7 linked regions of the Coturnix japonica genome follow. The protein of the gene in region 1 interacts with the protein of each later gene in a biochemical or structural test. Links are inferred from orthologs where the notes say so. Each region holds a gene or a part of one and is shown on either strand. Other genes may lie near its edges. The genes, in order: XIAP, HTRA2, PGAM5, UBE2D1, HTRA1, CASP9 and HTRA3.

Region 1 (3,500 bases):
TATATATATATACACACACTATATTAATACCTACAGCTTTCATGTTACTTCATGTAATTACTGAGTTTTACCCTTTGAAGGTCAAAGCAAGCATACAATTCAGACCTGTGGGTCAGTCAATATAATTTATTTGCTGTTTCTGAATTTGTTGAGCTACAATCATTCTGCAGTGTTATTACAGATGTTATTACATTAGTTACGAACCGACTTGCAGAACTAATTGCAGTTGGTGCTCAAAACCAGCCTTGTGCCCACAGCTGCATGCAGTAAGCATGATGCCGCTGATGTGTTTTCTCAACCTTCCTGCTGGCTCGTTTGCTTTGTCATTGTGGCAAAGTGCGCCATAATCTTTCTTTTTTTAAACTGGCTCAGATAAATGCTTCTCATTGAGTGAATGGAGCTGTCATAAAGGGTTGGGTTTGGGTGTGGGTGCTTGCTATAGCATTGCGCTGAGACCTTTGATGGCCATTACCCTGTCAATGAGGCAGGGTATCTGTCAAGTTGTGTGAGGCACAGGTAATAACTGATTGAAGGTTTCTCATTTGCTTTATCCCTCTTACTGTATAAGGTGCATTCCTGATTAGCACATGCAACAGAAGGCTGTAGTGGCTACCTGGGTGAGAGAGGCTGCTGTGTGCTGGCTCAGATGCATTCAGGACAGCGGAAGAGCTGCTGTAAACACCGGGGGAAGCCAGGTGCATCAAAGCTTTACTCTCAGGCACCAGAACGTCATTCAGCTGAAGAAGCACAGCACCCATTCTTGAATTTGGCACCCAAAGGTTGGATGGTTCCTCTTCTGGGGAAAGGGCCCTCTGTGCCAAAAGGGATACGTGCACCCATCAGGTGGGGGCTGTGGCCTGCAGGCAACCTGCACCAAGGCAGGAATCACACGCTTTGAAACTCTGATCTGTCCAATTGCTTTTCATTAATGATGTCCTACCCAGAACAAGTTAGGTAGGTGCTTACTTGAAGCATTTTTGTCTCAAATGGAGAGAGCAAAACAACAGTTTTGCAACAGAAATTACTTGGGGGATATGAAGATTTCCAGTGAAAATTGCCAGTGATGGCTGCTAGTTTTGCTTTAGGACTCTCCCGATCACTCTCTGTGCTCTGAAATCACTGTTGGCTCAGCAACTCTAGAGGGAAATGTCCTTTGACCAGTGACTGTGTCTTGGCATGCCCTGTATTTATTTGCATGGTACTGCTAAAAGAGGAATCAACCTTCAGTTGGTTGGCTTATTGGGAAGATTATTCATAGGAGTATTTGGGGGATTTTTAAAAGAAATGTCGCGCTATTTTACCCAGACTGTGTGTCATTTTTGTTGTAGGGTAAGGAGAGTTGTTCACTTGCACAGTTCTGTGGGTGTAGCTACCAAAGCACTGCTTTTGTGAGGCACTAAAAGAGTTAGTGTGTACTCAGAGCTGAGCTTAAACTGTGGCTTGTTTCTAGGCTGTGCTATAAGTCTGGTACATGTTTTTGGGAATAAAAATAAGGATAGATGAAAGGTATCTGTTGGATTTGACATTGCTGATTGTAAAGCTAAGCGTGCATTATCAGGGTTAACATCTGTCTTTGTAACGTTACAGTTAAAATATGGGAAACTTCTGTGATTTTTTTTTTTTCTAAATATTTTGTAGGCTTCATGTTGTGTAGAGCGAGAGGCCACAACTCTTGAAGTCTGCAACTGCTTTTGAGATGAAAAGGGTTGCTCTGTCTCGCTCTGTTCTGCTCAGCACCTGGGCAGCGCTTTTTGAATTGGGGAACCGTGAATGTAGCTTGGAGGATTTACCACATCCTCCAGCTGAAGATTGTTACAGACAAAACCAGCCAGGTTAATCTCTTGCCTGAGTCTCTCACTACATTTGGTAGAGCACTTTGGAGTCCTCTCCAGAGGAATTAGGGTATTTCTCTGTTGGGGATTTGGCAATGTATACCAGGAAATAGTTCTAATTTGTAATGCTTACTTGTACCTCATTTAATTTCTTTCCCTTTTCCCGTGTGGTAGTTACGGGTGGTTTGTTTTGAAATCATCAACATCAATACTTAAGGCCTGTTGAGTTCCATAAATTAGGTGTTTGATTTGGGGGAATATACTTTGTAACCTCTGAAAAAATAGTATTTTCTCTCATCCCGCTGCTACTTGTTGATCTTGTACCATTGCTTTGGCATGAGTGCATTCAAACAAGCCTCTTTCCTCCACCCTGATTTTCCTTCTGTTCAATCCTGTCTAAGCAGAGCTGACCAGTCAAAAAAAACATTCAGGTGTTTCTTGTAAAGGAATTACTGCATCCAGACAAAATTTGGCAGATGTTTTATTCTATTAGATTATTTAATTCTATAATTCCATGTTCTTATCTCAGAAGCCTTTTGTCAGCTTTTAGTTCTTCCTCAATTTTATTATTCTTGCAGTATTCCCTTCCAAAAAATAAAGCATTCTCTTAAATATGTGAACATGTAAATCTGTGTATGTTACAGGCAAATTCTTATTAGTCATGTTTTGTAACATATTCCTGTAATACTTCACAATCTTCCTGCCACTCCTTATGCTTTATCTTTATTTTGGTTTGACTCTGGAGGGGTGGGAGCAGGTAAGGAGGGAGGGAACAGGAGGAGACGTTAATGCATAAAACACAGCTAGTCGAATTTAGCTCATTTCCATGCTTGTGGATGTGTCCTTCTGTCTGAAGATAACATGTATATGCTTTGTTTAGGGAATTTGAAGGAAGAGCCCTACGTATGAGGAGATGACGTGTAATGGCCCGGATAACTCTGAACCTGGTGCTGCCCCAGCCACTGACAGTGACCAGGAGTGGTCCCAGGAACACTCCCGGCTAGGAACCTTTGTGGAGTTTCCCCGCGATTGTCCGGTTCCAGCATCAGCACTAGCTCGAGCTGGCTTTGTTTATACTGGAGAAGGTGATAAAGTCAAGTGCTTCAGTTGCCATGCGACTATTGAAGGATGGGAGCCTGGGGATTCAGCGATTGACAGACACAAAAACCTTTCCCCAGATTGCAGATTTATTACTGAGTCTGCTTTTTTGGAAAATGATGTACGTCCTCTTGCGCAGAGCCACCGGCATAGAACTGAAAACGGCTCCAGCAATTCAGCCCTCTCCTCTGCTCTGGAGGACTTGTCTGATGTGGAGGCAGATTACCTGTTGAGAACCAGGCAGGTTGTGGACATGTCTGACACTTTGTATCCTAAAAACCCTGCTATGTGCAGCGAAGAAGCCAGGCTGAAGTCCTTTCACAATTGGCCCCCCTATGGCCTATTGACTCCGAAGGAGTTAGCTGGTGCAGGACTCTACTATACAGGTGTCGGTGATCAAGTTGCATGTTTTTGTTGCGGTGGAAAACTGAAAAACTGGGAACCTGGTGATCGAGCTTGGTCTGAGCACAAGAGGCATTTTCCCAAATGCTTTTTTGTCCTGGGCCGGGATGTTGGAAATGTTTCAACTGAATCTATTTGTACAGAGCTTGGGAGAAGCTGTCTAAGCAA
Region 2 (4,041 bases), on another chromosome or scaffold:
TGCTTGAGAATACCAAGCAAATATCATGATGTCAATGTGAGAACCAGACAGCAAGAATCTGCACTAAACAAATTATCACAAACCCCAAGGAACAAAAACAAGGCAGAGTTCTTGGAAACTCTGGAAGTCTTTATCTGTGGCAGATGAGCAAATGGATCTGCCATGGCAGAGGGGTTCACTGCCTCATGCCCAATGGGAGAATCTTCCTATTCTCCAAAGGTTCTTCCTCTTGTTATGTCTGCCCACATGCCCATGTCTTGTTATGTCAGCTATGCCACAGCTTCTTCCCTCTGTCATCACCCTCCTTCTGGCCTCCTTCCCACCCGAGCAGAGAGGCATCCAACTCACTTTTGCGCTGCTCCTCCTTCTGCAGGAACTTCCGCAGCCGGTCTGAGGGGATGGCAAAGGAGATGCCTGATGTCACCTTCATAGTGTTCACCCCAATCACTTCGCCATCCTGCATGGAAAAGGGCAACGTGTTCTCCAACCTGCACCTTTATGGAGCTGTGCAAAACTTAAAGCCTGCGCACCGTCCCCCCCTGGGCAGTCTGACCCTGCTGAGGCCGGGCAGGGATGAGTCCCACCAAGCAGAGCTCTCACCCCACGCTAATTCCTTGATCCCACCCTTTAAGATGCCGAGAGCACACAGTTCCTCCTTCCCTCCTGACAGCTGAGGATACTTGCACAGTGCTCCCACTGAGGGCACACAGCCCCAGGAGAAAAGGCCCACTGGGATACATGCAGGAGAACTTACCAAGTTGACGAGGGGACCACCAGAGTTCCCAAACTGGAACAACAGAGAGAGCAGCAATGAGGCCACAAAAGCAAACCTCAAACACTACCCCACAGTGAGCAGGCAGAGCCCAGGGAACAGGGCTCAGGCTGAGAAACAGCCAGATCACCAACCAGGAGCACCCTCCTCCCAGCCTGCTGTGCCCAGACCTCACAGCACACAGAGCCCTTCCCCAGAGCAGGCAGCGGGACGAAGCTCCAGCCCAGCCTGCGCCCTTACGTCGATAGCGGCGTCCGTCTGGATGTACTCCATGTCGGAGGCGGTCAGGCCCAGCTCCCGGCTGCCGCGCTGCGCGGAGCTGACAATGCCGGACGTGATGGTGTTCTGCAAGGCGAAGGGGCTGCCCATGGCCACCACGAACTCTCCCTGCCGCACCTCAGAGGAGCGGCCGAGGGGCAACGTGGGCAGCGGGTGCTGGAAGAGAGGAACCGGGTAAGCAGAAGGCGGGAGAGGAAGGGAGCCCCTGGGCAAAGTGCCCCGCACCTTAGGCTTGATCCGGATGGTGGCAATGTCTGCGACCTGGTCCACGTCCTGCACCACAGCGTCGTACTGCTCCCCGCTGGCCAGCTTCACCCGCACACGGCGCCGGTTGGCCACCACGTGAGCGTTGGTCACAATGAGCCCATCAGGAGACACCACGAACCCCGAACCGTTCGAGATGGGCACCTCACGGCCTGAGAATGGGTGCCTGCAAGGTGGGCAAAGGTCATGGGAGGACATGGGGGCCCAGAGGGGACCAGTGGGTATGTGTGAGGCCAGGCCAGCGGGCAGCTGCATGGCTCAGCATGGTGGGCTGGACGGCAGCGGGAGACTGTGAGGAGATGCCCGGATGACAGCAGGACATGGGAGCTCCTTCACAGCCCCGCGCTGGGTGTCCATCCCAAGAGTCTGCACAACTGTGTGCGCTATGGGGCAGCAAGCAGCAGGAACCAGAAATCCATGGGAATGGCAAAAGCGTCTCCCCATGAGGACCACAGAGGTGCAGTGGGAAGCACACACTAACAAAGAGCTGCGGTGGACATTGGTGTCTTTGGGACAGATAAGCAGTTCAGGTTATGGAAAGACACAACCTGAACACAGAGCTTTGCTGTGAGGGCCACACGGGGTGAGCTGGTGTCCCTGTGAGTCTATTTGTGACCTTCAAACAGTCAGAGTGGCTCAGGGGGGCTCTAAATTGATGAAAAAAGGCATCAAAGCAACGTGACAACGGGGACGTGAGGACACCGGGGCCCAAGTACCGGCCAGTTTCACCCTCTGCCTTTGGGAACGGCCTGGGGCAAACGCTGCAGGAAAACACTTCCAGGCCCACAGTAACATGGTACCATCTATTGTAAACTGAGGGCTCCCAGCAGCGCCTGCAGTGCCCATGCAGGTGACACTGAGGCCGGTCATAAGGCAGGGTGACCGTAATGCAGGGTGACAATAAGGCAGGGTGACTATAAGGCAGGGTGACCATAGGGCAGGGTGACCGTAAGTCAGGCCGGCCGCGCGGCAGCGGGTGGTGCCGGGCGGTGCCGTCCGTACCTGCCCACGATCTCCACGTAGACCAGGGCGGGCGCCGTCTTCTCCACGACGTCGGCGATGAAGTTGAAGGCGGCGCGGGGCGAACCGGGCGGCGGGGCGGGCGGGGCGGGCACGGCGGCGAGCAGCGCGGGACGGCGGCCTTCCCGGCACCACAGCAGCAGCAGCGCCGCCGTCCCGGCGCCCAGAGCGGCGGCCAGCAGCCGGTGTCCGCCGGGGGGGGCGGGGCAGGACGGCGGGGGCGGCGGCGGCGGGCGGGGGTTGGCGGCGGACACGCACATCGCGCGGCCCCAGCGCGTGGCGACCGGCGGAGCGCGCAGCCACCGGCACAGCGCCGCCATAGCGCCGGAACGCGGGGCAGGACGGGAACTGCGCGCTGAGCAGGAGCGGGACGCGCGGCTGGGTCGGGCTGGTCGGTGCCGCCGGTGCCGCCGGTGCCGCCGCTCCTCCCGCTCCTCCCGCTCCTGCCGCTGCCGGCGCCGCGCCCGCGGGCGGACCAGGCCGCGCTCGTGAGCTCAGGGCGGCGGCGCGGGGCACGCCGGGAAGGCCGCGCTCCTCCCAGAGCGCCCCGCGCGGTGCGGGCGGGCGGCGGAAGATGGCGGCGGGTGGAGCGGGGTGTTGAGCGGGACGGGACGGACGGAGCGCGGCATGGAGCGCAGCGCGGCGCCGGGCCCGGAGCGGCTCTTCGACTCGCAGCGGTGAGAGCCGGGCGCCGGGCCCGCAACGTCCGGAGCCGCCGGGGGGACCCCGCGGGGCGGGACGGGGCGTCCCGGGAGTGGGCGGGAGGAACCGGGCCGGGCGGGGGCTGGGGGCTGAGCGTGGGGCTGAGCGGCCGGGCGGGGGCTGGGGGCTGAGCGTGGGGCTGAGCGGCCGCCCCGACCCCCCCCCGTCCATCCCGACCCCCCCCGTCCATCCCGACCCCCCCCGTCCATCCCGACCCCCCGCCCACCGTTGCCGTTGTCCTCCCGCAGGTTTCCCAGTGACGGGCTCGTGCTGCTGGCGCTGCTGCTGTACGCTCCCGTGGGGCTGTGTCTGCTCGTGCTGCGGCTGTTCATCGGGGTGCACGTCTTCCTGGTCAGCTGCATCCTGCCCGACGGGACGCTGCGACGGTGCGTGCGGGGACGGGCGGGCTCCGCTCATCCCGGGCCCTACGGACGGGCCGCCGTTACCGCGGGGGGTCCCGGGCAGCTCCGGGGCCGTTGTGCGCCCTGCGGTCACGGAACGGCTCTGTTGGAAGGGGCCGGGGCTGTGGGCTGCGCCCGGCTCCGATCGGAAACACACGGGGCTGTTGGTGCTGTTGGTTCTATTGGTGCTGTTGGTGTTGTTGGTTCTATTGGTGCTGTTGTCGCTGTTGTCAGCTCTGGGCCCGGTGCCCCCTGCCCCGTGTTTCCTGCTGCGGTGGCAGCCCTGCAGGCCGCTCTCAGCTGCGGCCCACAAACACTTCCAGTCTGTCGTGTCATTCCCATTTCGTACCGATATCTTTTCCCAACCCCAGTCCCGGGTTCCTGTTTTCTCGGCTCTCTGAGGCAGCTGTGGCTCAGACTGCACATCTGAGGGAGCCCTTTTTCCCTCCTTTAGCCTTATTGTCCGTGTGATGTGCTCAGTGCTGGGGCTGTTTGTGCAGCAGAGCGGTCCCCGTCTCCGTGACGCTGCGGTGCAGGTTTACATTGCCAACCACGTCACACACTTTGATCACAATGTCATCAACCTGCTGACCTCCTGCAACA
Region 3 (4,136 bases), on another chromosome or scaffold:
CCTAGACTAGAGTCAAGATCTGAATCAGATCCAGCATGGATTTATGTAGGCTTCCTATCATGCCAGAATCTCCCCAGATTTGATGTTGTGTTTCACCAATGCGGTGTTTGTGTGGCTGTGTTAAACTCTTTGGTGGAGCAGTCAGATACGATCAGAAAGCCAATAGAGCAGCTTCCAAATCTCTTTCTTCATTTTCTTTTTAAACTTGTCAAGTCATACAAACCAATGATGCTTAAAAGCAGTATTTCTTGCCCTCTGAAACAACTATTAAATGAGCTCAAGTCGACTTTGTTTTATAACCCAATAGTTTAAACTCGTGTATCATTTAAATGTTGCTGGGCCTGAAGCAAGCCAGGATGACATCAGTGTTTCCTTCCCCAGGGCCAGCAGTGAGCCCGCAGTGTCTGGATGCATTTGGAGCCCATGACCTCATGTTTCCTTGCCTTTCTCTCCTCTTTTGCTAATAACTTTACAGCTGCATTTTGCATCATGCGAGATGAGCACGATGGGCGCACTGCGGGTCTCAGCAGCACTAACAGGATGATGCCATTAGCGGGTACCATCAGTCGTTGTTATCCTCTTAGGGGGATTTTCTGCTCACGGATGAAACTCAACACAATGAAATGGGATTAGAATTGTAGTCATATGAGTATTAAAACAAACACACAAACTGAGAGCGTGGAGTGAAGCAGCCAGTGATGCTGTGCAGGGCGCTGTGTTTGAGCTGTGGGTGCTGCTGCAACAGCTCGTTGTTCTCAACCTGGTTGACTTCAGGCTTTACAGAAGGGTAAACTTAATAACACTGAGCTGGCACCGAGGTACAGGTTTGGGATTTCAGTTCGTGCAATTGGGCTGTTTTATTTTGTTGTATTTTTGAGGAATTGCTGTGTTTGTCCCATCCGGCCTCAGCCCAGCCGCAGGTTGGGACCACATGCATGGGCAGCTCTGTCGGCTGCTGGGGAAAGGGGAGCTCTGTGGAGGTTTGGATGTTCTGTGTATCAGCTTGCTTTCTTCTCATCTCTTGATGTTAAAGCAGGCATATAGTAATGAGAGCACAGTGAGCTGCAGCTCCACGGTGTGGGCATGGGAGGAGCGCCGGGCTGTGTGTTATGGGGGCTGTGTGTTACGGGATGTGTGTTACGGGCTGTGTATTAAGGGATGTGTGTTATGGCTGCTGGGGTTGTGCAGCGTTATTGAGATGCTGGATGTGTCTGTGCAGGGACGGGCGGGCTTAGGGCCTATCTGCGGGCAGCAGAGAGCTGCCGTGTGCCGTTCCGTTCCGTTCCGTTCCGTTCCGTTCCGTGCAATATTGCCCCTCTCCGCTCTCCGTCCGGGGCGGAGCTGCTCGTTGCGGGCGGCTCGTGGTTGTGAGGCACGAGGCCGGTCCCCCGCCATGTCGTTCCGCCGCGCCCTGGCGTTGGCCGCCTGCGGGTTGGCCGGGGGCTCCGTGCTGTTCTCGGCCGTGGCCGTGAGCAAACAGCCGGCACGGGGGGACGCCGAGCCGCGACCAGGGGGGGGATCCGCCGCCGCTCCCCCCGCCCCCGCAGCGCCGCAGGGTTTGTTGCTGCTGCCGCCCGCCGCCTCCTGCCCGCCGGGACCGGGTTGGATCGAGCGGCCCGCGGGGAGCGGCGGGTTCTGGGACAGCAACTGGGACCGGTGAGAGGGGACGGGGGGCGACACGGGACGGGGGGGCGGGCGGTACCGAGCGGCCGGGACGGAGCCTGTTGAATGGGGCGGAGCGGGACCGACAGCTCCGCGATACGGGAACAACCGACATGTTGGAGGCACCGACGGGACCGAGCCCAGCACCGGGCGGCACCGCCATGCGATGCCATGAGATGCCATGCAATGTGATGCGATGATATGATGCGATGCGATGTGATGATGTGATACGATGTGATGCGGCCTGTGCTCTGCTGGGGGGCTGTGGATTCATTTAGCGGTGGCTGTTGCCAAATTGCTTGGCTCTATCGCTCAGTTATAAGCCATAATTAATTGATGTTATCGGTAGCTCCAGCGCAGTGGTTTCGATCCGTTTTGCAAAACAATTGGTTAATTATGTTAATTAAACAGCCCGTTTCGGTGCTTATAACTGCAGCGGGGTTCTTTATCTGTGCAATTCCTGTCTCTGGGTTCTCCACTCACCCATCCAGGCGTGAACCGCTGGCTCTCATCAACCTCAAGAAGAAGAACGAGGAGACAGGGGAGGAGGAGCTGAGCTCGCGGCTGGAGCACTGCAGGGCCAGGGCCACCCGCCACATCTTCCTCATCCGCCACTCGCAGTACAACCTGGACGGCCGCGCCGATAAGGACCGGACACTGACCCCGCTGGGTAGGTGGGCTGGGGTAGTGATGATCAAGCCCAGCCATGGATGAGAGCTGCTGGCCTGGCAGCACAGGTCGGCAGCACAGCTCTTCTGTGGGAGAAAACACTGGATTTGATAAAAAACATAAAGGAATTTCCAGCTGAGCAGGTCTTCCTGCTGGCCAATGCAGCTGCCCTTGGCTGTGGTTTGTCTTAAACCAAGCTCCATAATGACCTTTGAGGGTTCCCATTATCCAATGGGTCTGGTTTGTTAATTTGCTGATTTACTCTCTTAAGGTCGAGAACAGGCCGAGCTGACGGGACACAGACTGGCAAGTTTGGGGTTAAAGTTTAATCAGATCATCCACTCCTCCATGACCAGAGCAACCGAAACAACTGAAATTATAAGCAAATACCTCCCAGGTGAGTGGCTTCTGTTGATTTCTCAGTATCTCCTGATCCTTCAGACTGCTTCCAGTGGGATTCTGAGCTAGTCCTTGGCTTACAGTGTAGCTGAGATGTTAGTAATCAACTTCTAGACCAGTGTGAAGGAAGCTGGCTGCCCTCCTTCTGCTTGTCGCCAGTTTCTCTTTAAAACATGAAGGGGGAGCTGCCCCTCAGTAAGATGCTGGCACCTCTGTGTGCGGGACAGCTCTGCTGGCTGCTCTTCCCTTAAGTGTTGTGTAAAGCAAGGACTGCTGCAGGTCAGCAGGGAAGAAATAAGTGTTGGCAGCAGAGTTGTGGGTCTGTAGGAACATGTGGGGTAACAGCTCCTTTCTGAAAGCATGTTTCATATTTTAGGTGTCAAAAAAATTAGCACTGATCTGCTGAGAGAGGGAGCACCCATAGAACCGGACCCTCCCGTCTCCCACTGGAAACCAGACGCTGTGGTAACCTTTGTTCCATGTTTTTCCCTTTCTATGTTTTGGAGCATACTTTATATGGGTGATGGTAATGAATATATATGGTTATATAATGGTGAGCTGATGCTTTTCATCATAGACCTTAGATAAATACTTACTTTTTACTCCTCCGTAAGCGTACAGAACCCCTAAAATAATTAAGAATCCCTGTGTGTTAATTGAGCCTCAAGTGTGCATCTTTAACAGATGCAGCCAACGTGCAAACGCTGCTCTGAGCTGTGTTTAAATCTGAACTCTGTGCCATTAGCAGTATTACGAAGATGGAGCTCGAATTGAGGCTGCGTTTCGAAACTTCATTCATCGGGCTGACGTGAAGCAGGAGGAGGACAGCTATGAGATCTTTGTCTGCCACGCCAACGTGATCCGCTATATTGTCTGCAGGTGTGTGTTGGACTGCGTGCTGTGAGGTGGAGTTGTGCTGGATTAGCATTGCTGTATTTATTGCACTGTTTGAGCTGGGGGGTGTTTGTGTGCCGTGTTAGAGATGGCTGAAGGTGGGCGCTCACAGCAGGAGCAGCTGGTCCTGCAGCTTCACCACAGGGTGAATTTGGTGATACAGGGTTTGAAAATTAGAACGCTTTCAAGTGAAATCGTTGAGGCTTGATGCCCTTTTGTACATCTGTCTGTGAGATGATGTGTTTTGAGCAGGACAGATGTGATTAAGCCTTAATCTGATCAACAGCTACAACAATTTCAGTGCATTTTTTTTAGCTGAGTCTGCCCTCTCTGCAGAGCTCTGTGAAATTGCTGTACTTAAAGCTATTGATCAGGTTCACGGAGTATTGTTTGCTGTGCAAAAAGGGATTGTCCTTCTGCTCCCCAGGCTTCTGAAATACCTGTGTGCTTTTCCTCATTGCTTTCTTCCATCTTCTTTTCACCTTACCCTCTATATCTGCCATTTCAGGCTA
Region 4 (2,426 bases), on another chromosome or scaffold:
CACAAGGTGACCCCAAGGGGCTGGGGAGGATCGGAGACCGGTTGTACGTAAGGTACGAGGCTGGACGGAACCGAGAGCGGAAGAAACGAGCTCTGCCAGCAGGCAATGTGAGCGCAGAGCCCCCTGCAACAAAGCGCTGCTTTCATAGCAACGCGAAACATTCCATCAGTGAGCAGAGCTGCTCCCCATGGAGCTCAGCTCACAGTTCATCGGTACAGCACAGATGTAACGCCAGCAGGATCCTGCAGGCAGAACCAAAGCTCCTACCGTGCCCCCTTCCCTCCTGCCTTGAAGTGGCCACCCAACATTGATTACAGTGAAGCACACTTAGTACATGCATTGAAAAAGGGAAAGAAACAAGCCAACAGCCAGGACAGCTAGTAGAAAATCCATTTTTATTTATATGGAAAAGGCTACATTTAGATTTGTAAAAGGTCTGCGTGTTATGCTGCCCACGTGTCAAAAATCAGTCGTGAAACGCAACAAAAAGGTTACATATCTTTTCTACACAGCAGTGCAATTAGTTCACATTGCAATAAAATTAAGTCAAGTATGCAACAGAATCAAAACCATGTGTCTGTCCGTAATCATACCAAGAATTACAGTGCAAAGAGCATTTTAGGTTTTAAGAAGTCTGCAGTCAGTCTTTAGAACACCCCAGAGCGGGCAGGATATCCCTTCATCACCAGCAGTTGTATGTTGTCAATACCGTGCACGAGAAAGTCAGTCTAGAATGAAATGACTTACACCGTAAATAAAATATATTTAGTCTATACAATTAAAAATACAAATTATAGATGTGAACTAGCAAAAGGAAATCCAAACACACCTATGAAACAGATCGTATATCTTAAAGACACACATACAGTATCATCACTTAAAAACGGCTACTTCTCTCCAGCAAAAATAATTTGGCTGCTTTACAACTGCATTAAGGATCTCGCAGTCTGAAGATGCAGATGTCCAACTCTTAAAAACCATAATAAATGTCTTCTGCAAAGCATACAAAGAGGATAAATACTCTCGTCACAGTCATAAGGTTATTTTTGGAAGTTTTCCCTTGCTCCAGAAACACACTTACATGGGTGGAAAAAGAAAACATTCAAGGGGCTCGATGGGACGTTCCAACAGTCGGCTGTGCTCCGTTTCCTTCTAAGTTTGAAAAAAACACACTAGAATTTACAGTACTCTGTGGTGTATGAAAAAGTCTTCACAAGTTTACATTGCATATTTCTGAGTCCATTCTCTCGCGTGTCTGTTGTATCTGTATGTGCGGAAAGAAGGCATTACAGTGAAGAGCTGTTAGATCTTGATGAAGACGTGCAATAATCAATAGGCTACTTGCATACATTGCAAGAGATCTTCAGTAACTCAGCACTAAAGATAACCCACAGGTACCCAAATGTATTCTACAAGGTAAGAAATATTTGTTGATATCACGGAACTCCCGCAGGCAGGTTATTTCACTCTTTGTAAACTGGACTGGATCTGTTTGTAAAACTTTTGCCTCACAAGGATTATTTTCTCCATAGAACCTTTAGAAACCACACAGTCTAGTCTGCACTATACAGGGCTTGAGCTTCTTGCCACCTGCAATTGCTATGAACTCTTAAGAAATGGATGAATCACTTGACTGGCTATCTACAGATGTCACTACTTCAAGCTGCAGTGCTTGAAGAAGCCACCCTGTGAACACAGGGCTCTGAAACACAACTCCAGGAGTGCCAAAGCCCTGGATTTGCAAGCGACCTTTACATCGGTTATCTGATCTTGTGGGGGTTCAGCCAGGCAGGCAGCCAGATCACAGCACTTCAAAACCCTCCATAGGAGCGTTGCACAAATAGCAAGCCTCAATAACATCATACAACATACAACAGTATGATGGTTTTATGCAAAAAAATATCTAACAGTTGTGTATGCCTACAGATTCCTGCTATTTTACTAATAGATGCTGTCAATATTTCAATAGCCAATACTCTACCATTAGATATCTCTAAAGGGATTTTTCAAGGAAATGGACAGGCTGCTGTAGCCAATCACCATCTGCAAGTACCACACAAATACATCTGTGTTATACTCACTTTTCCTTGTCTGACTTGTAGATCTGTGCAATATCCGGTACTAGAGGATCATCTGGATTAGGATCACAAAGTAAGGAGCATATGGACAATAAAACTAAATAAAAGAGACACCAAATTAAGCAAGTTAGTTCACTTGGTTTCTGCAGTCCTTTATGTAGACCAGTACACAAAATGAAGAAAGGAAGACTGGAAAGGAAATACACAAGTATGAAGCTTTCAGACAGCAGTCCTGCTCAGGAATATAGAATACAGCTCTTAGCAATGACTTAGACAACAGCTGCATCTTAAAGTTCATCTTAGAGGAATGCCAGTCAGAACCATTTATTTCTTGTTAAAATCTGGTGT
Region 5 (3,500 bases), on another chromosome or scaffold:
AAGGAACTTCAGAAAACAAGCCCAGCTACAGAATTGTTTTGCACCTTTGTCTTTGTGATTGCTCAGAAGAAATAATCCCTTTCACTTTGTGATGTGCATTTCACCTTTAACAGCAATTCCTCATTTTCCCCAGGATGGTGAAGTCATTGGAATTAACACACTAAAGGTTACGGCTGGGATCTCATTTGCTATTCCATCTGATAAAATCAAGAAATTCCTAACTGAATCCCATGACAGACAAGCTAAAGGTAACGTACCTCTATCTAACTGCTGTTAGATAGATTTAATATAGTGAGCCAACAACCCACAAGGCTCTCTTCCCTGTTGGATAAGAGCCACTGATGAAGGCCTGTTTTACTTTTTGTAGGAAAGGCTATAACCAAAAAGAAATACATTGGCATACGAATGATGTCTCTAACTCCTAGGTAAGTAAAAGTGGGAAAATAGTTCTTATCTTGCTGAACTGAGATCATTTCACATGGGCTTGGATCAAGCTAGCAGTCTACAGGAAGGGGCAGAAAATTGCTGATGCCAACTCTTCCCAGTTTCTCTTACCTTCTGTTGCTGTGTCCATTACACAGTTGGACTCCTCTATGGACTTCCATATGAGCTGTTGTCCAACAGCTCCCTGGCTTTTGATTTTATTCCTTTAGCACTTTATAAGAGAAGATGTAGCAATTGTTAATTTGTCCTGGTTCAACTGCTGCTGCTGCTGTCTATCCTGCCCTGCCACCATGGTCAAGGATCGCAGCAGCTCCACGCATAGCTTCATTTGTAGGAAATGGTTTTGATTAAGATCACTTAATGTGAAATGAAGCTTTCTGGTAGACTTTGCTTATTCAAACTCAAACCAGAAGAGAGCAGGTTATGTTAATAGGAATGATCAACAAACACTCTGTGTGTGTGCTAGGCTACGATAGATGGACTGTTACTACTTTCCCTAGTAGAGCAAGCCATCAGTTTGCATTTCACTATGCCTAAGGATCAGCAGCATGACAAAGCACTGAAAACTGGAGGCTTTTTTAGGTGTTCTGAATCTTCTAGAACTAAAGTCCAAGTTTTTAAAAAGCTGGTCTTTTCTACTGCCAGAAATAAGCAGTAAAAGCCATTTGCATGGAAAAGTGTGATAATTCTTGATATACTTTTAAGGGTTAAAATGAATTGTGAGGTGTCACATCAACATGTGTAAAATATCCCAGCTGTTAAATGTTAACTGAGTAAGAATCCATGCTTTTCTCCCCCATGTTGGCACAATATTCTTATGGATGCTTCTTCATTTTCCAGCAAAGCTAGAGAGCTGAAAGATCGCCATAAAGACTTTCCTGACGTTGTCTCTGGGGCCTACGTTATTGATGTCATTCCAGAAACACCAGCTGAAGCGTAAGTTGGAGCGCTTTACTCTCAAAACCACTGCCACTGTCTGATGGAGGGAATGTTCCATGCTTAGCTGGCTATCCTGGTTAAGCTAAATGAACAGAATTGCGACCATCTGATAGCTATTAGGTCGTCAGCTTGAAATCAGTTTGTGGTTTTCGTTCATTCCCTGATCAGCAATAATGTAGATGTGCCAGCACGTTGCTGCAAAGCCCTGTCAGAGTTCCCAGCTGAAAGGGCAAGGAGTCGGGGAGCATGAAAATCATTTTTCTCAGCCATCGCTTCCAAGAGCTCTGATGTACCAATGCCAGGGATGAGTTGGAGCTGATGGCTTGTACGTGTTCCTGCAACCCTGCAGGTCACTGCTGTGTGAGGGCAAGGGGGGACATTTTGCTCCTGCTTTGCAAGGATGTGGCTGGCTTCTTCTGTGCTTGCTAATGGCAAATCCTGATGCACCTCAGTTTGAGGTGAGATCTTTTGGCATGGAATGTTGCTCTACGTGAGACCTTTCCAGGAGCAACGCTGCTGGGAAGAGCTTTTGGGTTTGGCCAGCTGATATTTTCCTCAGTGTTACTCAGCACTGCTCAGAACCTCAAAGGCACTGCTCAGTGCCATGCTTCACGGGGTGCCTTGCTGAAGGCCTCCAGTCAGCGGGACTGGGCTGGCTGTCTCATGTTGGCAGCGCCTACCTTCTAGAGTTTGGTTAATACAAAATTGCTCAGTGATCCAGAGCAGGAAATAGGAAACATTGTCCATTTTCTGCAACTGGAGGTCATTTAAGAAAGACATAAATTTGTGGCAGCGAAGAAGCAAATGTAGCACCAAACACTTAGGCAGAAAGCTTCTCGGTGTCACTATATTTGATCACAAGGGGATGGTTGGATGATCCCTGTTTGTCAATAAGAGATGTAATGTAATAATAACACATGTTAATTGCCCTGATGAGCAGTTCCAAATTGAAGGAGCAGGAAAAAACATTGCAGTGATAACAGTAGTTAGCAGAGGGTGAGAGCAGGACGTTAGGTAGGAAACAGTGAGGTAACAAAGCCTTGCAATGTGAAGGCAAACTCGAGATGCTCCATTTGGGCAGATATTCAGGGGAGTCTGCAGCAGCTTACATGGGGATTTGAGTCAAGAGCAGGAGCCTACCAGTGTGAGACACCCAGGGATGGATTCTCTGAGGAAAATGCTGAAAGCCACAGCTAAAAGTAGGCAAGCAGATTTGTTAGCAGGCTGACAACGTTGGCCGAGGCATCCTGCTTACAAGAGGCACTCATGTAAAGCATTTTCTGCGGGCGGAAGAAGCCTATGACTGGTCTGTGGTTTTGTGAAAACGGATTATGCTGAAGGGCTGAATCATGTCTGATCTGGTTTCTTGGTTAATATTTCCATGACTTGGAGCCAGATTGTTGTGCAAGACCAGGCAAGACGCTGTGGTTGATGGTATCCCTCAGCACCCCGTTTGTGTTGGTCCCAGAAGGAGTCTGGGCAGCCCTGGGCAGAGGAGCCACATTGGGCCAGCCCCATTTGGTTGGTGTCTGGTGGTTGTGTCTGGCTTCTATAGGCACCCAAGCGCTCCTGGTGACTGAGTTAGATCGATGTATGGTTAAAATATGAATGGCTGCCAAGCAGTATGTGCACAGCTACATAAATTCTGTTTGCTTTTTGGGGGCCTGCTCTGTCTGTCTGACTACTGTCAGGTGTGAAAATGGAAATACTCAGTGCCTTTTGGTTCGGCTGAAAAGTACAGTGAGGGTAATGAAATGGCCCTAACAGTAATTCGTTGTTCCTTTGTCTTTTCAGTGGTGGCCTGAAGGACAATGATGTGATTATAAGCATCAATGGACAGTCGATAACTTCAGCCTCTGATGTCAGTGACATTATTAAAAAGGACAGTACTTTGAACATGGTTGTTCGCAGGGGTAACGAAGATGTTATGTTAACAGTAATTCCTGAAGAAATTGATCCCTAACCAGAAACATGAGCTGGATTTCATGTTTTCTTTTAACAGCATTGGACTGCTTATATTCTCTCTGTGCTGGTACAGGAAACGTTAGACTTCTGACCAACGTTCTGCTTCTTCAGCGGATTAGTATTGGCCAACAGAATAACTTCTAATAGGTTTA
Region 6 (4,263 bases), on another chromosome or scaffold:
GCCATACAGGATTTACACACCAGCCTTCAATCATGTGGTTATTTATTACCATGGCTGCTGGACTAAAATTAAGGAGGAAAGGCATCTTCCTCTTTTAACCTTGGGGGTGAACAACAGTGAAACCACCAGGAGCTGAAACTGTGAGTCAGAAGGAAAGCCTTGTTTATAATGCTTAGCCTCACTGATTTAGTTCTTACTAACACACAAGAGAGTGTTAACCTTGTGACCTAAACTCTGAGTCCTTCTATGGACCAGAACCTCATTCTGCAAGGAAATTCATGCTCAGCCCCAATGCTTCATCCTTACCCAGTGCCTCCAGTTCCTGAGCAACTTCCTTCCACACGGGCTCGATGTGGATGCAGCTGAAGCACCAATCCGAGGTGATTTTAATGAGGTACGGCTTCTTGAAACTATCTGGCACGATTTCATTGATGTAATGTGAAAAATGGAGCAAATACTTCTCGTCTGAGGTGTCACGTCTCTCTGAATTGAAGGGGAAGTGGAAGAAGGACTCATCAAAGTAGAAACCCTCATGGAAGTGGTGGAACTGGCGCTGCTGGTGTTGGGAATAGCCTTGGCTCTCTCCGGCATCTCCGTAGCGATCAAAGTTTGCTCTTTTTTCCTCGTTGGAGAGAATCTAGGAAGGAAATGAGTGAAGAAAGGTAACCCAGTGCAAAGAGTGAAAGGGTGACAGTGGTTATCCCTTAAGGAATGGATGTGGGAATACAAACCCACTGCAATCACAGAATCACAGAACTGTAGGGGTTGGAAGGGACCTCTAGAGATCATCGAGTCCAACCCCCCTGCCAAAGCAGGTTCCCTACACCACATCACACAGCTCGGCGTCCAGGCGGGTCTTGAATATCTCCAGAGAAGGAGATTCCAATGCCCTTGGGATGAATGCAGTAAGTACCAGCATCCAACCTGCACCATCCTATTGCTGTCACCTGTGAGCAGAGGCCAACCCCAGCTCACCACATCCTCTATTCAGGGGTTATAGGGAGCAATGAGCTCTACCCTGAGCCTCCCCTTCCCCATCCTAATACACCCCAGCTCCCACAGCAATGCCCTCATCCCCCTCCCAGCCCCCTGCAGTGCCCTCTCACCTCGTAGGCCTTGCTGATCTGGATGAACTTATCCTCAGCTCCCGGGTCCTTGTTCTTGTCCGGGTGCCTGCAGTTGGAAGGTGGAGCCGTTACCCATTGCCGTACCCCCCCACACCCCCCAGCCCGGCCCGCTCCGTACCACTGCCGTGCCAACCGCTTGTACGCCTTCTTAATGTCGGCCTGGCTGGAGGAGCGGCCCACACCCAGCACTCGGTACGGATCCCGCTCCGGTGCGGCCTGTGCCGTGATCAGCAGCAATAACAGCACCAACATCCCGGCCGGGCCCACCCGGCCCAGCTCCATGGCGGGCACCGGCCCCGGCCTCAACCCCACACCCAGCACATCCGGCCCGCCCGCCCGCCGACACCATAGCGACGCTTCCGCCTCCGGTGGCGGCCATGGAGGAGGCCCGGCGGAGCGCACTGCGGCGGGGTCGGCTGCGGCTGGTGGAGGGACTGCGGCCTGACGTGCTATGGGGGCCTCTGCGGGAACGAGGGGTGTTCACCAGCGCGATGGTGGAGGACATGCAGGTGGGCTGGGGGTACCGAGGCCTCTCGGGTCGGTGGTGGGGCCTTGTGTCCCCTCAGAACCTCTCGTCCCCTCAGTGACGGGGTTTGGGGTATCAGCTCATTTACAGGCCCAAGGGTGTCCCCTGCCCCCACAAGGCCTTTGTCAGGCTTTGAAAGGACCCGTGTGCCCCCAATCCCAAACCTTGAGGGATCCAGCATCATCTCAGCCCTGTGACAGCACCTGGGGGGTCCCTGTGTCCCTATTACCTGTAATACCTAGTCCCTGTATTACCTCAGCCTGGTGACAGAACCCCAGTGTCATATGTATCCCATGGAGTCCTGTGTCCCCACTATACCCATGACATGGCCCAGGGTACCCTATGAGGAGAGACTTAGGGAACTGGGTCTGTTTAGCCTTGAGAAAAGAAGGCTGAGAGTGGACTTGATTCAGGTTTATAAATACCTGAGGTGTGGGAGCCATAGTGGTGAGGCTGGTCTCTTTTCAGTAATGAGTGGGGACAGGACTAGGGGTAATGGGATGAAATACAGCATAGGAAGTTCCTTAATAAGAACTTCTTTACAGTGAGGGTGACGGAGCACTGGAACAGGCTGCACAGGGAGGTGGTGGAGTCTCCTTCTCTGGAGATATTTAAGACCCGCCTGGATGCCAAGCTGTGTGATGTGGTGTAGGGAGCCTGCTTTGGCAGGGGGGTTGGACTCCATGATCTCTAGAGCTCCCTTCCAACCCCTACAATTCTGTGATTCTGTGATACCCCTGTCTCCTCCACTGTCCATCTGCCTGGTGCCCTTCCCTTTGTTTCCACCTCCGTGATACTGTTAAACTGATTGAGAAGGTTTCTCTTATCCCCATGTTGATAAGCTGGGTGTATCCCCTGGTCCACTTATCCCCCAGAACCAGCAGTTCACGTTCCCTCCTGTCTCTATCTGTGGCCAATGCTGCAGTGGAAGCATCAGAGCTGAAGGGCTCAGGGAGCATCACTGAGGTTTATCCTGCCTTCCTTCCTCTGCAGAGCGCCGGCACCCGAAGGGAACAAGCACGACAGCTGGTCATTGACCTGGAGAGCCGTGGGAAGCAGGCCTTCCCTATATTCCTCTCCATCCTGAGGGACACCGGGCACGGTGACCTGGCTGACATGCTGGATGAGGGGTGCGGAAGCCCCATGTCCCCACCTGTGGATCTGAGGCCTGTGCAGCTGGAGCTGCCTGGAGAAAGGCGTGACAAAAGTAAGTAGTGAGAACGTGGTTCTTTGCATGGTGGAGTGTAGTAGCTGGGTTCCTTCTTGCTGTAGAAAGTAGGCTGTGAAGTCCTGGTTTTGTTATCCTCTGGCACAGGTCATAGTGGTGACTGTGTGACTTTGTTAGGAGGATGTTGTGCTTTCTGGTAGCAGAAGTGTTGAAGCCCCAGTTGTGCACTGGCGGCTTCCTTCTGCTTTTCACATGTAGCCTTTGTACTGCTGCACTGCAAACAGGTTTCAGTGTGGCTTTGCTACTCCTGTTCTGCCCTTTATCTGTTGGCGTGGCTCATACAGCTGTCATAAGAAACCTCACTGAACTCAGATAAAAGAAAAACAGAAGTGGTTTTGATCTGCCCTTGCAGTGGTGTAGCTGCAAGCTGTGGTCCTTAAGGGGAACAAGAGCTGCTTAATTCCAATGTAAAACTAGAAGGGGCAGAAGGAGAGAGATGACTTTCCCATGCCATTACAGGTGTGAGAACTACGGAATACTTGTCCATCCCAGTCCAAGCTGAGAGTGAGAGATTTCGGATGCCTCCAGCACCAGCCCAGGGTAAGGGTTGTCCTGCAGCCCTGAGTGAGGTCTGACAGCTCGTTGGTCAGTTCCTTGCTTGTCCTTGCACTGTGAATTGCAGACCAGTTCAGATGCATGCTAGCTGGGAGGTGACCCCAACTAAATAGTGTATGGTGTCCCAGGTGGGGATGAGCGTGTGCTTGAGGTCCAGGCTCTAACTGCTGAGACTCTTTGTGGTTTAAGAGATAAGAGCCAAATGCTGCTTCTGGTGGGTGATGGGGTGAGAAGGGGTGGGTGTCACTCACGTGTGACAGATGACAGGGCAAGGTTGATGTTAGTTCTGCGAAGAATAGGTGTAACATTTCATTGTTGAGTGCTGAGAGCTAAATCCCATTTCTCTGTGGTGTGTTGTAGGTTCAGCTGTTGACAAGAGCGACCACAGACTGGTTAGTATTCTAAATCCTCTTCTTTTCCAGTTTATTTGTCATAGTATTGGGGTTCTTTGCTGCCAGTCATTTCAGAGATTCTGCTTGCAAGGAGCTTGTGCTTTAAGAACTGAAAAGGCAGAGCAAGGCTGAAGATATTTAAGTGTTCACCCTCACGAGGCAAAGAACAGAATGTCCAAAATAAGGTCTTAGTGTGGCTTAAACTTCTTCTTAGACTGAAGAAGTCCCACAGCACAGAGCTGCTGCAGCTGGGAACAGTGCTGTGACATCCAGTCCTTGGTGCTGGGGCTGACGTGGCTGTAACCAGGGCAGTGTGCTCAGAGTGGGTCAATCCATTAGTCAGCTCCTCCTTGGGATCACACGAACCGTGCTGCAAATAACATGACATGGAGCTAAATATGGTGCTTAAGCACTTTCAAGTAAGACAGCTAGTGA
Region 7 (4,144 bases), about 59 Mb from region 1:
CTTCATGTGCAATTACAAAAGAAGCTAACTAATAAGAATATCAGTAGAGCTATGAAAAATTCTGTATTCTAACAGCAATAACACAGAAACTGCTATTTGTTCATAATCTGAAATACTTTCGCCGAGCTCTTCCTTGTAAATGTTATCACAAATAATGAAAACATTCATGTTTTATACACACAGAGCCCTTGTTTCCTTCTGATCTATGTTTCAGATTGAACACTTCATTTCAGGAATCTCCTGTCTCCATAAAGAGCAAGTTGGGATCAAAATATAGACTTCTTTTTCATATTTTATGTATTGCTTTGCAAAAAAAACAGCCAGTCTTACCTTTGCTGAGATGCAGCAAAATTTATGCCTTTTTCACCTTGAGCCACAAAATATCTTTAGCTGTCACCTATAGCTTTCTTTAAGAGGGACTGTAGCTCTCTGCAGAATCCAGTCTCGAATCCCGTCCTTATAACATGAGAAACAAAAATACCCTCAGCTTTCTGTAGCTGAAGATTCTCCCTACTCTACTCAAGGTCCTTAACTAGAAGACAGTACTAACGTGTCTCCACTTCTCCCTTCAAATGACTGTGAAACCAGGTGCAGCTGGTCAGTAAATTAAAGCCATCCACTGCCTACTTACACCCAGTCAGTGGGATGGTATCAAGAGGAAGCCCAAGGCACTACCTTTCAGAGCTGAATGAGTAGCATCTCTTATGTGATAAGGGAACTATGGGCAGAAGTGAAGGGTGAGTCATATGCAGCAAGGAAGGTTTGCCATGCTCGTTTGGTCTTTGGATGAGTTATGACCGAGGTCTCTCTTCTTAAGTTACTGTAAGGCTTCTGGAAGAAAGGGACAGCCTCTTTAGCTGTGAATGTTGCAATAGGACAAGGGGAAATGGTTACAAATTAAAAGAGAGGAGATCTAGATCATATATAAGGAAAGTTTTTGGCAGTGTGGTGAGGCACTGGAATAGACTGGCCAGAGAGGTGGTGGATGTCCCATCCCTGGAGACACTCAAGGCTGGATGGGGCTCTGAGCAACCTGATTGAACTGTAGCTGTTCCTGTTCATTACAGGGGACTATATGAACATTCTGAGTCTCTTCCAACTCAAATGATTCTACGTGGGGAGACAGAATAGTTTTCTACCCCTCTTTTCCCATAAGTTACAACTTCAGATATACACCTTCACACACGCAAACATATATATATCGTTATTTTAGAGCATCCTCTTGCCTCACACCTCCAGACGGCTGCAGCGGGGACCTCGGCCCTTCCCCCTGGGCAGCCAGTTCTCCAGGCGTCCCCGCCCGAGGGGAACGTGCGGTCCCTCCCTGCCCGGGGTGGGGCCTGGCGGTGGCGGCGCTCCGACGGCCGCTGCTGGAGGCGGCGGCGGCCCCGGGCTCGTCCCACATATACCCTCATCGCTTCGCTCGTCCCAGCTTGTCCTCATTGCCTCCTGCGGCCGCTGGGCCATGGCCGGGCCCCTCAGCGCTGCCAGCTAGTCCCGCAGCTTCGTATTCCAGCCTCCGCCTTCCCGTCTGTTGCTGTCTGCAAGGACTTCCCCACCCGTGTGCGCACTATTCGACTTTCCCGTTCCTCCCTGCACCGTGACTGCACTTTTCCCCTTTCTTCCTCGCTCCCCTCCTGCCGCCGAGGATGCGGCTGTCGCTGCTCAGCTCGCTTCTCGTTCTCTGCATCAGCCGCGGCTTCGCCGAGCTCCCGGCAGCCCGAGCCAAGTGCCCGACCCGCTGCGATGTCTCCAAGTGCCCCAGCCCCAGCTGCCCCAGCGGATACGTCCCCGACCGCTGCAACTGCTGCCTCATCTGCGCCGCGGGAGAAGGGGACTCGTGTGGCCGCAAGGAAGACCCTCCCTGCGGGGACAGCCTGGACTGCCGCTACCCCATGGGCAAGCGCTTCGCCAAGGGGGTCTGCCAGTGCAAGCTCAGCGCTCAGGTGTGCGGCAGCGACGGCCTCACCTACGATAACATCTGCCAGCTGAAGGCTGTGAGCCGCAAGGCGCTGCAGCACGGGCTGCCCGCTGTCGCCCAGGTGCAGAAGGGAGCCTGTGAATCGGGTAGGAGCATGGCGGGGCCTGATGCGGGGCGAGGGCTTCATGCAGGGGTGGGAAGAGGTGAGGGTTGGGGTGGTTAGGAGAGCTGGGGGTTCCCCCAGGGCCAAACAGTTCACCCTGTTGCTGGTAATCGCTGTGGTGTGGATCAGGGGCACGTGAAGGGGATCAGGTTCTCTGTGAGCAGCACAGATCCCTCTTCTTGATCCTGTGGTGGAAGCTGGGAAGGTTGTACGGTGGTGGCATGGCTGTGGATACCACAGGCACAGCTGTCGGATCAGTGCAGCACTGACACCCTTCACAGTCATCATCTAGGCAGTGCCACAAGTTTGCCCTGAAACCATTCACATCACTCTTGTTTTGGAGCCATAAAGTCATTAAGGTTGGAAAGACCACTAAGTTCATATAGACCAAACATGGACCTATGCCTGCAACGTCTCTAGACTATGTCCCTCATTGTCAAGTCTGCTCTTTTTTTTTATGAGAACTTCCATGGATGGTGACTCCTCCACGTCCCTGGGCTGTCCTTTCTAATACTTTACTCTTCCTGAGAAGTTTTTCTAACAGCAAACCTGAACCTCCCATGGTACATCTCAAAGCCAGTATCTCTTCTCTTATTGCTTTTACCTGGGAAAAGAGGCTGACCCCCACCTCACTACAAGCTCTTTTCAGGGAGTAGTACAGAACAATAAGGTCTCTCCTGAACCTCCTCTTCTCCAGACTGAACCATCCCAGGGTTGGCACTCGCTATTGATGTGTTTCAATGACATTACATGCCTGGGCTGCCCTGCAGAGCCATTATGGCACATCCTACACAGAGCACAGCCTGCAAGTGTGCTCTGAGACCTTCCCTGGAGATGTTAGCAGATGTTAATTGTATTTACCAGATGAGTATCTCTAGCAAGAAGTGCAGGTTAAGGCTGTATTGCTCAAACTATGCAGAAAAAGCACCAGATAGAAGACTATGTTTCACATGTTCTGTTTTATTTTCCTCTGACAGGAAATGCTGTAGCTGTAGTCTTGAGGAATTGAAAGGGGAATGGATGCCTACGAATTTTACTTATGGTTTAAAATCAGATCAGATAGTCCTTTGTTTATCAGTAGGATACTACGGCCTCTGCTTGTCCTAGGCTATTGTAATAATCTGTGATAACCTCAGGCTGGATGGTATAACTTTAAAAAGCTTAGTAACCACCTACATTGCTTTTTTTATTTTATTTTTTTGTCAGTGTTACTAAAATTGGTCACTTCGTGGAAGTGTTAACATTTCTAGTTTATTTTCACACACTTCCTTGTATATTATTTTAAGATTGTACTTATACATCTTTTCGCATACAGTTCCTGGAAAGAAGAATCATATGTGTAGCAGGGTTTTAAATCATGTATTAGTGCATGTATCTTTTCGGAGCCCAGAATTACTCGGATGCTAACCTGGAGATGTGATGATCAGTCTCTCCTGTATTTTGCAGTTATAAATTGCTGTTTGTTTCTTTGTGTTCCCCATAAGCATCCATCAGCTTTAGTACTCCAACTAGTTGGTTGGAACTGATCCACTCGACATATCTAGAGTGTTTACCCAAAATGAGTGAACTAGCCTGCATCTAGGGGCTAACATACTGTCAGGGGGTTGGCGTGTATGACATTCTCTTTAAGAAATCCTCCTGAGCCTACTGTTTAAAAGGCTTAGGAATTCAGAGTGTTGAGGTAGAAGTAATGCTTTTTTTTCAAGCAACTTTTTTAGTATTCACTTTATTTTGGCTTTATGTTTTGTTCTGGTTAACCTCAGCTTAGTTGAAGCATCTGGTTCTCTGTGAAGTTCTAATTTTTTTTTACTCAGTTCTACAGCTGTACAAACTGAAGCTCAGAGAATCTAAGTGTCTTGCCCAAGGTCATATTGAGCTGGTGGCTGAGCCAGGAATAGAAGTCAGTTATGGTACTTCTTTTCGTTGTATTTTTTTTCTTTTTTTTTCTTTAACAACAACATGCAATGTCTGTAATGAAAGGTTTTAGAAGAAAATCAACAGTTTAAAATTACTGTCGAGTGTCTCTATTTTCCCCACTGGTGAAAGAAATCTGGCCTCAG

Evidence for each region.
Region 2: the proteins of XIAP (region 1) and HTRA2 form a complex in vitro, tested with the Homo sapiens proteins (10 studies listed by BioGRID and IntAct, with this or other methods). The link is inferred for Coturnix japonica from reciprocal best matches to the Homo sapiens genes XIAP and HTRA2.
Region 3: the proteins of XIAP (region 1) and PGAM5 form a complex in vitro, tested with the Homo sapiens proteins (2 studies listed by BioGRID, with this or other methods). The link is inferred for Coturnix japonica from reciprocal best matches to the Homo sapiens genes XIAP and PGAM5.
Region 4: the proteins of XIAP (region 1) and UBE2D1 form a complex in vitro, tested with the Homo sapiens proteins (8 studies listed by BioGRID and IntAct). The link is inferred for Coturnix japonica from reciprocal best matches to the Homo sapiens genes XIAP and UBE2D1.
Region 5: the proteins of XIAP (region 1) and HTRA1 form a complex in vitro, tested with the Homo sapiens proteins (2 studies listed by BioGRID and IntAct, with this or other methods). The link is inferred for Coturnix japonica from reciprocal best matches to the Homo sapiens genes XIAP and HTRA1.
Region 6: the proteins of XIAP (region 1) and CASP9 form a complex in vitro, tested with the Homo sapiens proteins (12 studies listed by BioGRID and IntAct, with this or other methods). The link is inferred for Coturnix japonica from reciprocal best matches to the Homo sapiens genes XIAP and CASP9.
Region 7: of the proteins of XIAP (region 1) and HTRA3, one has a biochemical effect on the other in vitro, tested with the Homo sapiens proteins (3 studies listed by BioGRID and IntAct, with this or other methods). The link is inferred for Coturnix japonica from reciprocal best matches to the Homo sapiens genes XIAP and HTRA3.

Annotation. Positions count from the first base shown.
Region 1 is NC_029519.1:14,635,339-14,638,838, reverse strand, and holds part of XIAP (E3 ubiquitin-protein ligase XIAP), read left to right. Parts: intron 1-532; exon of another isoform or gene 533-843; intron 844-2,712; 5' UTR 2,713-2,745; coding exon 2,746-3,500.
Region 2 is NW_015439533.1:471,450-475,490, reverse strand, and holds the start of HTRA2 (serine protease HTRA2, mitochondrial), read right to left. Parts: upstream 2,801-4,041; 5' UTR 2,656-2,800; coding exon 2,318-2,655; intron 1,482-2,317; coding exon 1,013-1,481; intron 788-1,012; coding exon 755-787; intron 458-754; coding exon 349-457; intron 1-348. Other genes in the region: AUP1 (ancient ubiquitous protein 1), read left to right, coding at 2,963-3,012, 3,286-3,423, 3,893-4,041.
Region 3 is NC_029530.1:1,103,835-1,107,970, forward strand, and holds the start of PGAM5 (serine/threonine-protein phosphatase PGAM5, mitochondrial), read left to right. Parts: upstream 1-1,336; 5' UTR 1,337-1,393; coding exon 1,394-1,656; intron 1,657-2,153; coding exon 2,154-2,332; intron 2,333-2,602; coding exon 2,603-2,728; intron 2,729-3,106; coding exon 3,107-3,195; intron 3,196-3,475; coding exon 3,476-3,609; intron 3,610-4,136. UniProt on the Homo sapiens protein: Mitochondrial serine/threonine phosphatase that dephosphorylates various substrates and thus plays a role in different biological processes including cellular senescence or mitophagy. Modulates cellular senescence by regulating mitochondrial dynamics.
Region 4 is NC_029521.1:5,293,576-5,296,001, reverse strand, and holds the end of UBE2D1 (ubiquitin-conjugating enzyme E2 D1), read right to left. Parts: intron 2,176-2,426; coding exon 2,082-2,175; intron 1,265-2,081; coding exon 1,219-1,264; 3' UTR 501-1,218; downstream 1-500.
Region 5 is NC_029521.1:27,882,962-27,886,461, forward strand, and holds part of HTRA1 (serine protease HTRA1), read left to right. Parts: intron 1-133; coding exon 134-248; intron 249-367; coding exon 368-425; intron 426-1,284; coding exon 1,285-1,380; intron 1,381-3,177; coding exon 3,178-3,346; 3' UTR 3,347-3,500. UniProt on the Homo sapiens protein: Serine protease with a variety of targets, including extracellular matrix proteins such as fibronectin. HTRA1-generated fibronectin fragments further induce synovial cells to up-regulate MMP1 and MMP3 production.
Region 6 is NC_029536.1:4,283,036-4,287,298, forward strand, and holds the start of CASP9 (caspase-9), read left to right. Parts: upstream 1-1,463; 5' UTR 1,464-1,504; coding exon 1,505-1,636; intron 1,637-2,646; coding exon 2,647-2,860; intron 2,861-3,340; coding exon 3,341-3,421; intron 3,422-3,796; coding exon 3,797-3,828; intron 3,829-4,263. Other genes in the region: DNAJC16 (dnaJ homolog subfamily C member 16), read right to left, coding at 307-637, 1,107-1,173, 1,246-1,409. UniProt on the Homo sapiens protein: Involved in the activation cascade of caspases responsible for apoptosis execution. Binding of caspase-9 to Apaf-1 leads to activation of the protease which then cleaves and activates effector caspases caspase-3 (CASP3) or caspase-7 (CASP7).
Region 7 is NC_029519.1:73,404,434-73,408,577, forward strand, and holds the start of HTRA3 (serine protease HTRA3), read left to right. Parts: upstream 1-1,344; 5' UTR 1,345-1,649; coding exon 1,650-2,067; intron 2,068-4,144. UniProt on the Homo sapiens protein: Serine protease that cleaves beta-casein/CSN2 as well as several extracellular matrix (ECM) proteoglycans such as decorin/DCN, biglycan/BGN and fibronectin/FN1.